Linked DNA regions of Arabidopsis thaliana. The protein of the gene in region 1 interacts with the protein of each later gene in a pairwise test. Each region holds a gene or a part of one and is shown in the gene's direction. Other genes may lie near its edges.

Region 1 (4,401 bases):
TGAAGAAGAAAGTTTATATATGCCCTGAGAAGAGTTGCGTCCATCATGATCCAGCTCGAGCCCTAGGAGACCTTACTGGAATAAAGAAGCACTTTAGCAGGAAACATGGAGAGAAGAAGTGGAAATGCGATAAGTGTTCCAAGAAGTATGCTGTGATATCCGATTGGAAAGCTCATAACAAGATTTGTGGTAGCAGAGAGTTTAGATGTGATTGTGGTACTCTTTTCTCCAGGTCATTACTACTCTTTCTACGTCTTCGTCTGCAGCATTATCGTTTGCCTTAACATGTTCATATATCAAACATTTTTAAAAATTGTAACAACGGAAAAAACGTTTTCAAATCTTCAGGTTTGCATTTATTTGAAGTGTTTGATAAAAATATAAATATAAACGTAAAACACAAAACATATTTGAATTATATTTGAAACAAACCGGGTCTTATAATTGGACATCGAAACAGATGCATGCATACATAAAAGCATGATATTGCCTATGCTAGAAAAATAAAAAGTTATTGAGTTTACTTTATGTATAGCGAGTACGTTGGTCTTTGGCTCGTAGCTTGTCATTTGGATACCACTACCGTTAATTATTTCTTGGCTTCTCTGTGTCTTGGTCCAGTTTGTAGTTTTATAGAGACACCAATATCGAGGAGAAAAAAGGCTGCATGACTAGGACATGATGTGGTCATGTCTCCATAGCCTTGAGTCTTTTTTTTTTCACCTTACTACACATATCGATTATAAGCTTGCATCGAATAAAGAGTTGCATATATACCATATACAAGAAGACCTATTTTAATTTAATTTATATGTTACCAATTAGCCTATATTAACATAGTTACTTTATTGAATGATTTGGTTGATTGTACCAGGAAGGACAGTTTCATCTCACATAGATCCTTCTGTGATGTCTTAGCTGAAGAAAGTTCTAAATTCTTCTCAGTTCCTTCACCATTAGCCGCCAATTCGACCATCGCCACTGTCACTGATACCAACAATCCAATTCTCATTCAATCACAATTGGATCAATCTTCCACAGGTACGGCCGATCTTAACGTCAACAACAATCACACCACCCTATTTGGACAAAAGTTCACCAACTCCAACCCAACCCAACAACAACCCAATGCTTTGGCGTTGTCCTCACCACCATCACCTCGTAGTACATCTGATTCGGTTCATAATCTATGGAAGTTACAAGAAGAGGAATGTGCACACCAGTGGTTACTCAATGAATATATGAACAATAACAAAAACATATTCCATAAGGGAATATTCAAGAATCAAGAAGATGAGATAAAGAAGGGAAATATCTACAGCGGCTCAAACCCAACCGATGGAAACATAGCATCCTTGTTCTCGTATAATCAAGAAGCAGTGAATATGGCTTCATTTTCGGCAACAACATTGCTTCAAAAGGTAGCTCAAACGGGAACACCATCAAGCTCCGAAACTAGCACCACCATGTTTGGGCAAATGACTTCCTCCATCTTCAACAATACGATGCTAAACTCCTATTGTTTAACGGCGAAGAATAATGAAGAAGAGTTGACCAGAGACTTTCTTGGTGTGGGAAGTAGTGAGGACCAACAACGTCTACATCGTCATCGCTTCCCATCAAGCGTGCCATTGACGGCGAACCATGATATTCCCAAGTTGGCCGCAACCATTGTAGGCAGGAAGCAACCATAGACATGGCGTCATCTGATTCTGAAATTACTCGTTTTTGTTGACATGCAAGGTAATTAAAGATAGAAAAACTATCTCCACAAGTTCTTTAGAAAAACTATAGAACAAAAACCTGAAGCGATAATTTGTTTACAAAATAATATGTACGTGGAAGTGTATTGTTTAAATCTAAAAATTTTATTTATATATTTTCTCTCATTGGAGACAACGTATGGGATGGGAGCTAGATGCGAGACAACCATCCACAACAATAGGAGAAAAGCGTAGATCACGAGAGAATTTCTGAGTCAACTCGATTTAGTAGACCAGGTTAACTCGGTTGACAAAGATTGAAAGTTATTTGGCCCCACGTGCCACCATGCATAGAGAAACCTAACCATGGATCATGCATGAAATTCGAAATCTCTTTTCTTGCAGAAACGTAAGGTTTTTATCCTCCCCCCCAAAAAAAAAGAAACGTAAGGTTTTTATATAATTCTTAAGCGTTTTCAGATTTGATTAATCATGACTGAAAACACGCATCTCATTCTTCTTGTCTTTTTAAAAAGTTTCCAAACTAATGCTAAATAATAGGATTATTTACTAATCCAAATTGCAATCAACAATGTTATTTATATAAACCTATTGGACAAAATCTCTCCCTTTATGTCATTGACAACATTTCCAGAAACAGAGTATAAACGCACTAGTGAGTGAAATAAGAATCAGACATGAGCTCGTTATCAAAACCAAACAGACAATTTTTGTCACCAACAACAAACAACCAAGACACCGGCAGAGAACAAACAATCGCCTGCGCCCGAGATATGGTTGTCTTGTACAACGAGTGCCTTAAAAACCACGCGGTCAGTCTCGGAGGCCACGCTCTTGACGGCTGCGGTGAGTTCACACCAAAGTCAACCACCATCCTCACGGACCCTCCGTCCCTTAGGTGCGATGCTTGTGGCTGCCATCGCAACTTCCACCGTCGTAGTCCTTCTGACGGCTTCAGTCAGCACCGGTCACCACCGTCTCCGTTACAGCTGCAGCCACTCGCCCCTGTTCCGAACTTGCTTCTCTCTCTTAGCTCCGGTTTCTTTGGACCCTCGGATCAAGAAGTCAAGAACAAATTTACGGTGGAAAGGGATGTTAGGAAGACTGCGATGATTAAGAAACATAAGAGGACGAAATTCACGGCGGAGCAGAAGGTGAAGATGAGAGGTTTCGCGGAGAGAGCGGGGTGGAAGATTAACGGCTGGGATGAGAAGTGGGTGAGAGAGTTTTGTAGTGAAGTTGGAATAGAGAGAAAAGTTCTTAAGGTTTGGATCCACAACAATAAGTACTTTAACAACGGGAGGAGCAGAGACACGACGTCCTCTATGTCTTTGAATTTGAAGTTGTAGATCTCTTTACAGTGATGGGTCTTCATCTTCTTGAGATAAGGAAAAACCGAAACAAAAAGAGGTTACGGTAGTCTCTGATCCGACCGGAATGTCACGTCAGAAATATAAATTATCTAAGTTTTTTTAAAATTAAAAATTATTATCCTAGAAGACTTGTCATTTTGGGCATAACTTGTAACGATGGATCATGACTCATGACATGTATATGGATATGTATTCGAGTGATATTAAGGGTATTTACTCTCTCTTTTTTGTTTATATTTATATATAAGTAAGTATATAGTGTAACAATGCTGTAAATAATAATTCATGAGTGAGTAACTAAGAAAATTGAAATATATAGGTAACTGGTTAATATATAGGAGGAAATCAGTACCTAGTTTTTTTTCTTTCTCTACAGTACTAATCCTAGTTTAAGGAGTAAAAGGTGAAAACAGGATGTAGTCTCTATATAGATACTTCCTACTTGACACGGCTACTTTAACTAGTGACATTGAGAAACACAATAACACTCCTTTTGAATACAAGATGTGACCCATTCTCGTTGACACTACAAACGAATCTCCTGAACTTTAAAGGCAAGTAGATTTTAACTAATAAGATACGTGATTAGGATATTATATGTACATCCATTTAAGGATAAAGCTTCGGTAACAGCCCTCATATAATTGTCCTAAATAAGGATAATGCAATTGTATCTATACACTATATTGTCCTAATACATATATCTTTCCGTAAAGAGTTGGCTCTTCACACACATCTTGAACGAAGCATCTGATGGTCTTTATTCCTTGTCATCAGAAGCTTCTTATTGGGGTGATATTTAATGGAAGATTCTTTGACGAAGGAGGAGTCGTCACCTATATGCTGTTTCAAGTTTCAAATTCCAAATTATAAAGAGATTCGTTTTGTTGAATAATTATTAAATTGATCGACTGGACTTCCATTTTCCCAGATTTGCAATCATGCATGTGGCAAACCAATTTAATTCTTTGACTTAAATTAAAATGAAGAACGAATTTGTTGCTATAGTTGTAGGATGGTTTTTAAAAAAATAAATGTATTATCAATTTATACTAACGCTAGATTAAACTTTATAGTATTGGATTTTGTATTTGATCAGTAGATCAGAATTTTTATTGCAAAAGACATATATATGAATGGGTGAAATACAAAATAATTCCATACAAATGAATGTGATTTTTTATTTGAAAAAATATTAATTGGATGCTATTTCATCAGAATTTTTATTGCAAAAGACATATATATGAATTTTTAATCATTTTTATTGCAAAAGACATTTATAAAATATCACACTGTTTCTAATG
Region 2 (7,466 bases), on another chromosome or scaffold:
AGACAGCTGATTGCACCTGACTCTCACGTTAATGTATGTTTAATGATCTCCATCATATATTTGTGTATATTTTGAATCTTGCATGTGTTTTAACATAGCATATAAACTGATTATTGGCTTTCATGTTGGAAATTAATTGTGAAGGCACAGACGAACTGGTCAATGGAGTATAGCAGGCTTAAGGCCAAGATTGAGCTTTTGGAGAGAAACCAAAGGTACATAGTACATTTAAATTTATTTTAGTAGTTAAATATTGAGGAATAACAGAAGAGAGAATGTTCTTAATTAACTAAATCATCATAGGCATTATCTGGGAGAAGAGTTGGAACCAATGAGCCTCAAGGATCTCCAAAATCTGGAGCAGCAGCTTGAGACTGCTCTTAAGCACATTCGCTCCAGAAAAGTGTGTAAATATATCCCACACTCTATCTCTATGCATAACTAACTTTGACTTTGTGTGGATATATTACATATAGTCAAATATTGTATAGAGATTGTCTCATATAAATAAATAATTTTTGGCCTTTTTGTATGCAGAATCAACTCATGAATGAGTCCCTCAACCACCTCCAAAGAAAGGTAGCTAAGTTAAAACCATTTTATCTCTCAAGTCCTGTGTGTATAGAGTCATGACTTATATGTTAGAGATATAAATCTTTTAATAAATAAATAACATATAGGTTATATATAATTCAGGTTAATATATTATTAATTACTAGATGTATATATACTTATATAGATCATATAAAAAGAGAAATTGACAATGGTGTCATTTTTGTGGAAATGACAGGAGAAGGAGATACAGGAGGAAAACAGCATGCTTACCAAACAGGTGATCATTGTTTTTTGCATTTCTAACTGTTTCACTATTTACAATTCCACTGTTGAACTCCACTTCAATCTCTACCTTAAGCTACCATCTCTCCACTTTCGGCACCAACTCTTTTGAGTAAAAAGAATTGATATGTAGTTTCTTTTGATTGGTATAATCATGAGCCTAGCTGCACGTATAGGTAAGCTTTGTCCGTTTAGTATTAAGGTTGTCTCCCAGATTTGAACTTGAACTTGAACTGTCTTCTCATAATCATAGTCTATGTGTAAATTACACATACATTAGCTAGATAGCTAGGAGCTCTATTTAAGTTTTATTGAGAAGTAAGAAAACGTACGATGAAACTACTTGATTAAAGAACATATATTAAATGAAAAAATATCACAATAGTAAGACCTTGACGACGCTAAAATTCGCTTAACATTTTGCAGATTTAATTATTACTTTGCATTTTGTTTGAAAATATCATATTACAAAAAAAAGTATAAGAATAAAAAATTGAAGTTCCTTGAATAAATGCAAATAGCTGATTAGTTGCAAATGGGAATCTATATAAAGATGATGCTTATATCATTTTCTTGGCGTGTGTAATCGGTATAGATAAAGGAGAGGGAAAACATCCTAAGGACAAAACAAACCCAATGTGAGCAGCTGAACCGCAGCGTCGACGATGTACCACAGCCACAACCATTTCAACACCCCCATCTTTACATGATCGCTCATCAGACTTCTCCTTTCCTAAATATGGGGTAACGGCAGTATTTCTTGTTTTTTTAAGTTCTTTTTTCTTACCATAATGTCAAATTCTCATATATAGTGAAGTGTTCAGTCAGTCATATAGGCAATGATAGTGAATGCACTTCATATATAGGGTTTGTGTTAGGTATGGCGTTAGAGGTTGATGGTATGCATGCATATTATTGTATTATGATTTTAATTTGCTATATATGATTGTAATTTCAGTGGTTTGTACCAAGAAGAAGACCAAACGGCGATGAGGAGGAACAATCTGGATCTGACTCTTGAACCCATTTACAATTACCTTGGCTGTTACGCCGCTTGAATAGACTACATCGATCTATATCAATCTCTTTAAAATAATATAAGATCGATCCTCTACTCATGATCTATATTAAACACCGGTTAATTAATATATTTTTGGTATGTCCTTATATCATATCAACATGATCAAGCCTTTTTCCAATTCAATATATCTTGTATTTCGGGGAGCAATGAATAAATGTAATATTTGGGGACTGAGAGAGCTAGAAAGAATTGTTGTTCAAACCTTTTCTATATTGATCTCATCGTTACATTGTAATTTGATTTCTTTCACACAAAAAAAATATTTGTAATACGAATTTAGTCTTTGATGATTTGAACTTTACTTGGTCAAAGTAAATCACAGCCTTAGAAGGTAAATTTTGAATTGAAAATAGAAATAAAAATGTTGGGAACGTGACATTCGGTTTCTTCTCCATTTGCTTCATGTAGGTGCGTGATACGATCGGAAATGAGAATTATTGGGCCCTTGTGGGCTTCATAATTATTAGTTCATTGTTTAAGCCCATAATACTTGGCATTTTGCCAAAGAAGAAACTGTATAAAACAAATCGGAGAAGAAAAGAAAAATAGTAGTCGCAGCAATGGAGGATCTATGGAAGAGGGCAAAATCGTTCGCAGAAGAAGCGGGTAAGAAGTCTCAGACGATAACACAATCATCCTCCGCGACCTTCGTCAATCTCGTCACCGAGACTGCTAAGAAATCCAAGGAACTCGCTCTCGAAGCTTCGAAGAAAGCTGATCAATTCAATGCCGCCGATTTCGTTGCTGAAACGGCTAAGAAATCCAAAGAATTCGCTGCTGAAGCTTCAAAGAAGGCGGATCAGTTCAAAGTCGCCGCGCTGAAACAAGCTGATCAGATCCAGAACATCAAATCGATCGCTGATATAATCGGGACCGGGACCGGGTCAGGATCCGGTTCAGAAGCGGAGCTTCTCGAATTCGGTGTAACGGATGATTTGAGAGAGTTCGCTGAAGGCTTGACCTCTGCTACATTCCAAGCTTTTCCTGATCAAGGTATTTGTTGATTTTTGTTTCGATTTTGTTGGCTCTTCGTTTCGCTGAATGTGAGCTACTTGTATAGATCAAGGGGATGAAGTTTCCGATGTGATAACAAATGCTTCGAATGTTCGAAAGGATCTCTCGGATTGGCAAGAGAGACATGCCACTCTGGTTCTAACCTCTGTCAAGGTCAACTTTCAAATTCGAGATTTCATATGTTATATGACTTGTAGTGTCTACTCTAGGAATCTAGTTAGCTGATTTTGTATGCACATTGCACATTGTTGCAGCAAATCTCCAAGTTAAGATACGAACTTTGCCCTCGTTTCATGAAAGAAAGGAGGTTCTGGAGGATTTATTTCACACTAGTGAGCACTCATGTTTCTCCGTAAGTCTTTACCATCTCTTCTATAAATTTATGATTTTATAGAATAGCATTATTTTATCTCTTCTATATATTTATTTGATTCTTATTCTTAATCAGTTACCATGTCTTAATACACCGATAGCATTTCTTTGCTAAACTTTCTCCTAATCATATTATTGCTAATAAAAAAACTAATTGGATTTTAGGATTTGGTGTTATTTTGTTAGATGATAGTGTATGGTTGTAAAAGAAGATTTTGTTGTTACTCTTACAATCTCCATCGCACTATGTGATAAGCAAGCATAACTCTTATTTCATTCGTGTTTAAGTAGGATTTGCAGGAAGAAAAAGTGCAAACATAGATAGATACCAGCATATAGGCACAGATCCAGGCCAATCATTCTCTTTACCATTTCCATCTGAGCTCATGAGCCCTCGTTTGATTCTTCATCTTTTCTTTTCCTGTTTTATCTTCACCAACTGCTACAAACTTCTTTCTCTTGTCCGAATTCTCTGCCTTTTTCGTCTTTTCGTTGTCTACTTCCTTCTTCTTCTCTGTGATCTCAATCTTGGTATCTCCTTCCATCTTTATATTTATGTTCACCTCCAATACTCTCTTGCTCTTTCTCATTGAAACATCGAACAACTCCTCTCTTTCTCGTCTTTGTTCATAAAGTCGACGCAGCTTGAGTGCGAGATTGTAGATCCCGTCCTTGAATTCCCCTTCCAAATTTCTTTCGATTTCCATTTCTAGCTCATCGCGGATCCTCTCTTCGTCTTTAGACAATAAGAGTCTCCTCTCCGCCTACAATAATACTTATAAACAATGAGTAGCTGCTTTTCTTTCCATGATGAAGGTATAATGTACATATTTTTCTTACATTTTGTCGGCTATAGTCTTTGTGGTCCATGGCTCCACACTTCTCGCCTTGCGCATATATTTCTTTCCCACTAGATTAACAAATGGGGTTATAAAACAATATCGTTTTGACATTGACATATGTCTTGATGGAGTTCCTTGTGGGACTCAGTTATACAATAGTTGGTGGTCCAAATAAGGTTATAAAAAGTTCTTAATTGTATGGTTTTATGTGACCGTTAACAAAAGATCCTTGGAAACATTTACGCTCCAAATATATCTAATTGCGGATTCAGAAACTTTGTTGTGGTTGATTAAACTGAAACTGATGTCCTTTTTATATGTTGGTGAGAATAGTGCTTTACTTGTAAGGCTGCTATGGATTGCTTAAAAGTAGGATCTTTACGATCTGTGACTGAGATATTTAGAAGAAGATTGACATGTTTGTTTCCAAAGAAAAACAAAATTGATTGGATGTTGTCTCTAATTAATTTATTGTAAGTATACATAATATTTTTTATATAATTAGATATTATGTCCAATTAATATACATAAAATAATGAGTATTGTTTTTTTATATTGTAAATATACATAATATTAATATTAATTGCCAAAAAGCAAGTGTCAAAAATTTAATTATTTGTAAACCATATTGAACCTAGAACATCTCTTAGGGGTTTGGATATTGTATCCAATTAATTTACACAAAAATTTTAAAATTAACACTTATCAAAAAAACAAAAAAATTTAAGAAAAAAAACAAGTGTTAAAAATTTAATTATGTGTAAACCATATTGAACCTAAGACACCTCTTAGGAGCTTGGATGTTGTGTGTCCAATTAATTCACACAAAAATTAAAACTTAAAAGTGTTAAAAATTTAATTATGTGAAAATCATATTGAACTTTCTCTTAAGGGATTGGATAGTGTGTTCAATTAATTTACAAAAACTTAGAAACTTAACACTTATAAGTAAAAAACATTTTGGTTGCAAACTAAATTATTTGATTCTTATTCTTAATCAGTTACCATGTCTTAATACACCGATAGCATTTCTTTGCTAAATTTTCTCCTAATCATATTATTGCTAAGAAAAAAAACTAATTGGATTTTAGGATTTAATGTTATTTTGTAGATGATAGTGTATGGTTGTAAAAGAAGATTTTGTTGTTACTCTTACAATCTCCATCGCACTATGTGATAAGCAAGCGTAACTCACACTAGTGAGTTAGGATCGTAATTAAGGAATTGAGTAATGTGTGGACAAAGGGATTTGATAAAGAAGCCTGGTAATGCATTTAGGAGATCGTGAGATGAAAGAATGCCATTAGCTTAGACTTATATCTATAATGATGGTTTCAACAGTCCTTCATGTAGAGGATAGCAATTTGTTGATCCTTGCATCTCATCGATATGATATGTTATCTTGGTAGTTGGCTTGTTCTGAGGCATTCTTTTGTAATGACTTTATTCAGATATGAGAGGAAGTACATGGAGGAACTTAAGACCAAAGGAGAGCATGGAAATGAAGAAGCTAAGAAGGCTCCAGCGACTGGAGAGACAGAAACAGTAGAAAAGAATGTTGCAATCCGTAGAACATCTACTGCGTCTTCTGAGCAGGATCTGGATACATTCCTGTTGGGTGATCTAGAAGACAGTGATGAAGCTCCAGGTGAGAATTTCTCTTCTCTGCTCCCTACTTTTAACTGTGTTTAGGTTATCTTCCTCTTGTATCCACGTCACTAATTTTGTCATTATAAACGTATATCAAGTTGTTTGAATCAGCCAAGGCGTTGAATTTGGTTTTGTGTATACTGTGTCTCTAGCTCAGTTTAGCAGGATGTATAATCTATTAATTTGTGTTTAACCCCTTCCAGATGATGGTGATGGAAGCCTTGAGGATGACTTTGACAAGATTGGAAACTCAGTAAGCACCCTTTTACATTTCCGCCAAATGTAGACCTTGTTGTTCATGAATTCGGACTAAGGAACTTCCTATGCTGCGTGTTTACAGGATGTTGAAGACGAGAAGCAATCATCTAAAGCTACAACAAATGCAGGAAACGAAGTGTCTTGTTAGTTTTAAGTTCCAATTAGAAAAGGGTAAATGAAGAAGATGCTTGAAATGTATAGTTTTGATTTAGTAAGTGATGCATACGAAGACCTTGATTTCGCAATTCATATATGATTCATTTGTTTTGCCAAACAGTCCTCTGGTTCGTTTTGTACAGCACTGCTACCGATAAGTAGTCAATTACTTCAACTCTAAACTTCTCTAGTCTTTTGGGTTCACCCATCACAAATTCACAATGAAATCTATTCATGCTTTTCCGAATCTCGGTGCACTCTGAAATCTCCTAAGCAGTGCATTCATTATAGATTTATGAAGGAGTGTTGATGGCAACGTTGTCTCTGGCCTCAAACCACAATCTCAATTTTATTTCTTAGTTCCATATTTCGTAGATGCATTTTGAGTTTATACTTGTAACAATCGTTGGCGTTTGGTAAAACTTAAAAGGTAAACTCTAAACACAAGACAAACACTAGTTTCTTTCTCACCAAGCAACTCAATACAATAGTTTTAGTTGTAGACAATTCTTTTTGGTTCGGTGCTCTGTATGAGAAAGAACATCTAAACAATGGCCATGCGTGAGTAAAAAACAAGAGGCAGTCACAGCCAACGGATAGACCCGCCCATAGAGAGATAGTTTTGTCAGACGAAGAAACGACCAATTCTCGTTATCCCTCTAATATTATTATTCGTTTTTATATTGTTTAAATATATAGTAGGACAATGTATAAAGAACAAAAAGTGTATAAAAAGCGAAGACGGTCTACATCATTTCGGGAAAATATTCCACATGGTTTCATCACGAAACTAGGGGTACCTCTTACATTACATACGTGATACATTGCTGACACTTCATCAATAAAGACAATTTGTTTTGTCAAGTATTTCTTCATTATTTTATTTCCAAAGAAAAAAAATAAGAACCCCTTTTACTGTATTTTCTTCTTTTAAATTATTTTTTGATTACTTAATCTTTAAGAAATTCACGTTTTATCAACAAAAAAAATCACTAAGAGCTCCCCATTGGAGATGATGTTCTTACATAAGTCTAACAAATTATTTTGTGTGTTTAATAGTCGAATCTCATATCCCCAATGTATAGTGTTTAATTAAAAAAAATAAAAATACAATGTAAAGTATTTTGATAACCATCTTCATCAGATAGCCGTTGGTGATGCATTTAATTTAAAGACTAGACTATTTAAAATGGTATAGCCGTTTAGTACACTAATATTGTATTAATTAGACATCAATCTATAAGAAAAAAAAAAAT

Evidence for each region. Proteins that work in one complex are often made in the same cells at the same time.
Region 2: the proteins of HB26 (region 1) and AT1G26300 interact in a two-hybrid assay, tested with the Arabidopsis thaliana proteins (one large-scale study listed by BioGRID).

What each region holds. Positions count from the first base shown.
Region 1 is NC_003076.8:24,321,097-24,325,497, forward strand, and holds HB26 (homeobox protein 26), read left to right. Parts: upstream 1-2,274; 5' UTR 2,275-2,401; coding exon 2,402-3,073; 3' UTR 3,074-3,239; downstream 3,240-4,401. Other genes in the region: AT5G60470 (C2H2 and C2HC zinc fingers superfamily protein), read left to right, coding at 1-232, 875-1,694. UniProt on the Arabidopsis thaliana protein: Putative transcription factor.
Region 2 is NC_003070.9:9,094,759-9,102,224, reverse strand, and holds AT1G26300 (BSD domain-containing protein), read left to right. Parts: upstream 1-2,459; 5' UTR 2,460-2,478; coding exon 2,479-2,911; intron 2,912-2,978; coding exon 2,979-3,085; intron 3,086-3,186; coding exon 3,187-3,284; coding exon of another isoform or gene 3,285-3,288; exon of another isoform or gene 3,289-3,669; coding exon of another isoform or gene 3,670-4,068; exon of another isoform or gene 4,069-4,144; coding exon of another isoform or gene 4,145-4,174; exon of another isoform or gene 4,175-4,582; intron 4,583-5,597; coding exon 5,598-5,794; intron 5,795-5,999; coding exon 6,000-6,049; intron 6,050-6,136; coding exon 6,137-6,202; 3' UTR 6,203-6,457; downstream 6,458-7,466. Other genes in the region: CAL (K-box region and MADS-box transcription factor family protein), read left to right, coding at 1-33, 145-215, 304-403, 538-579, 791-832, 1,433-1,581, 1,796-1,895; AT1G26290 (uncharacterized protein), read right to left, coding at 3,670-4,068, 4,145-4,174.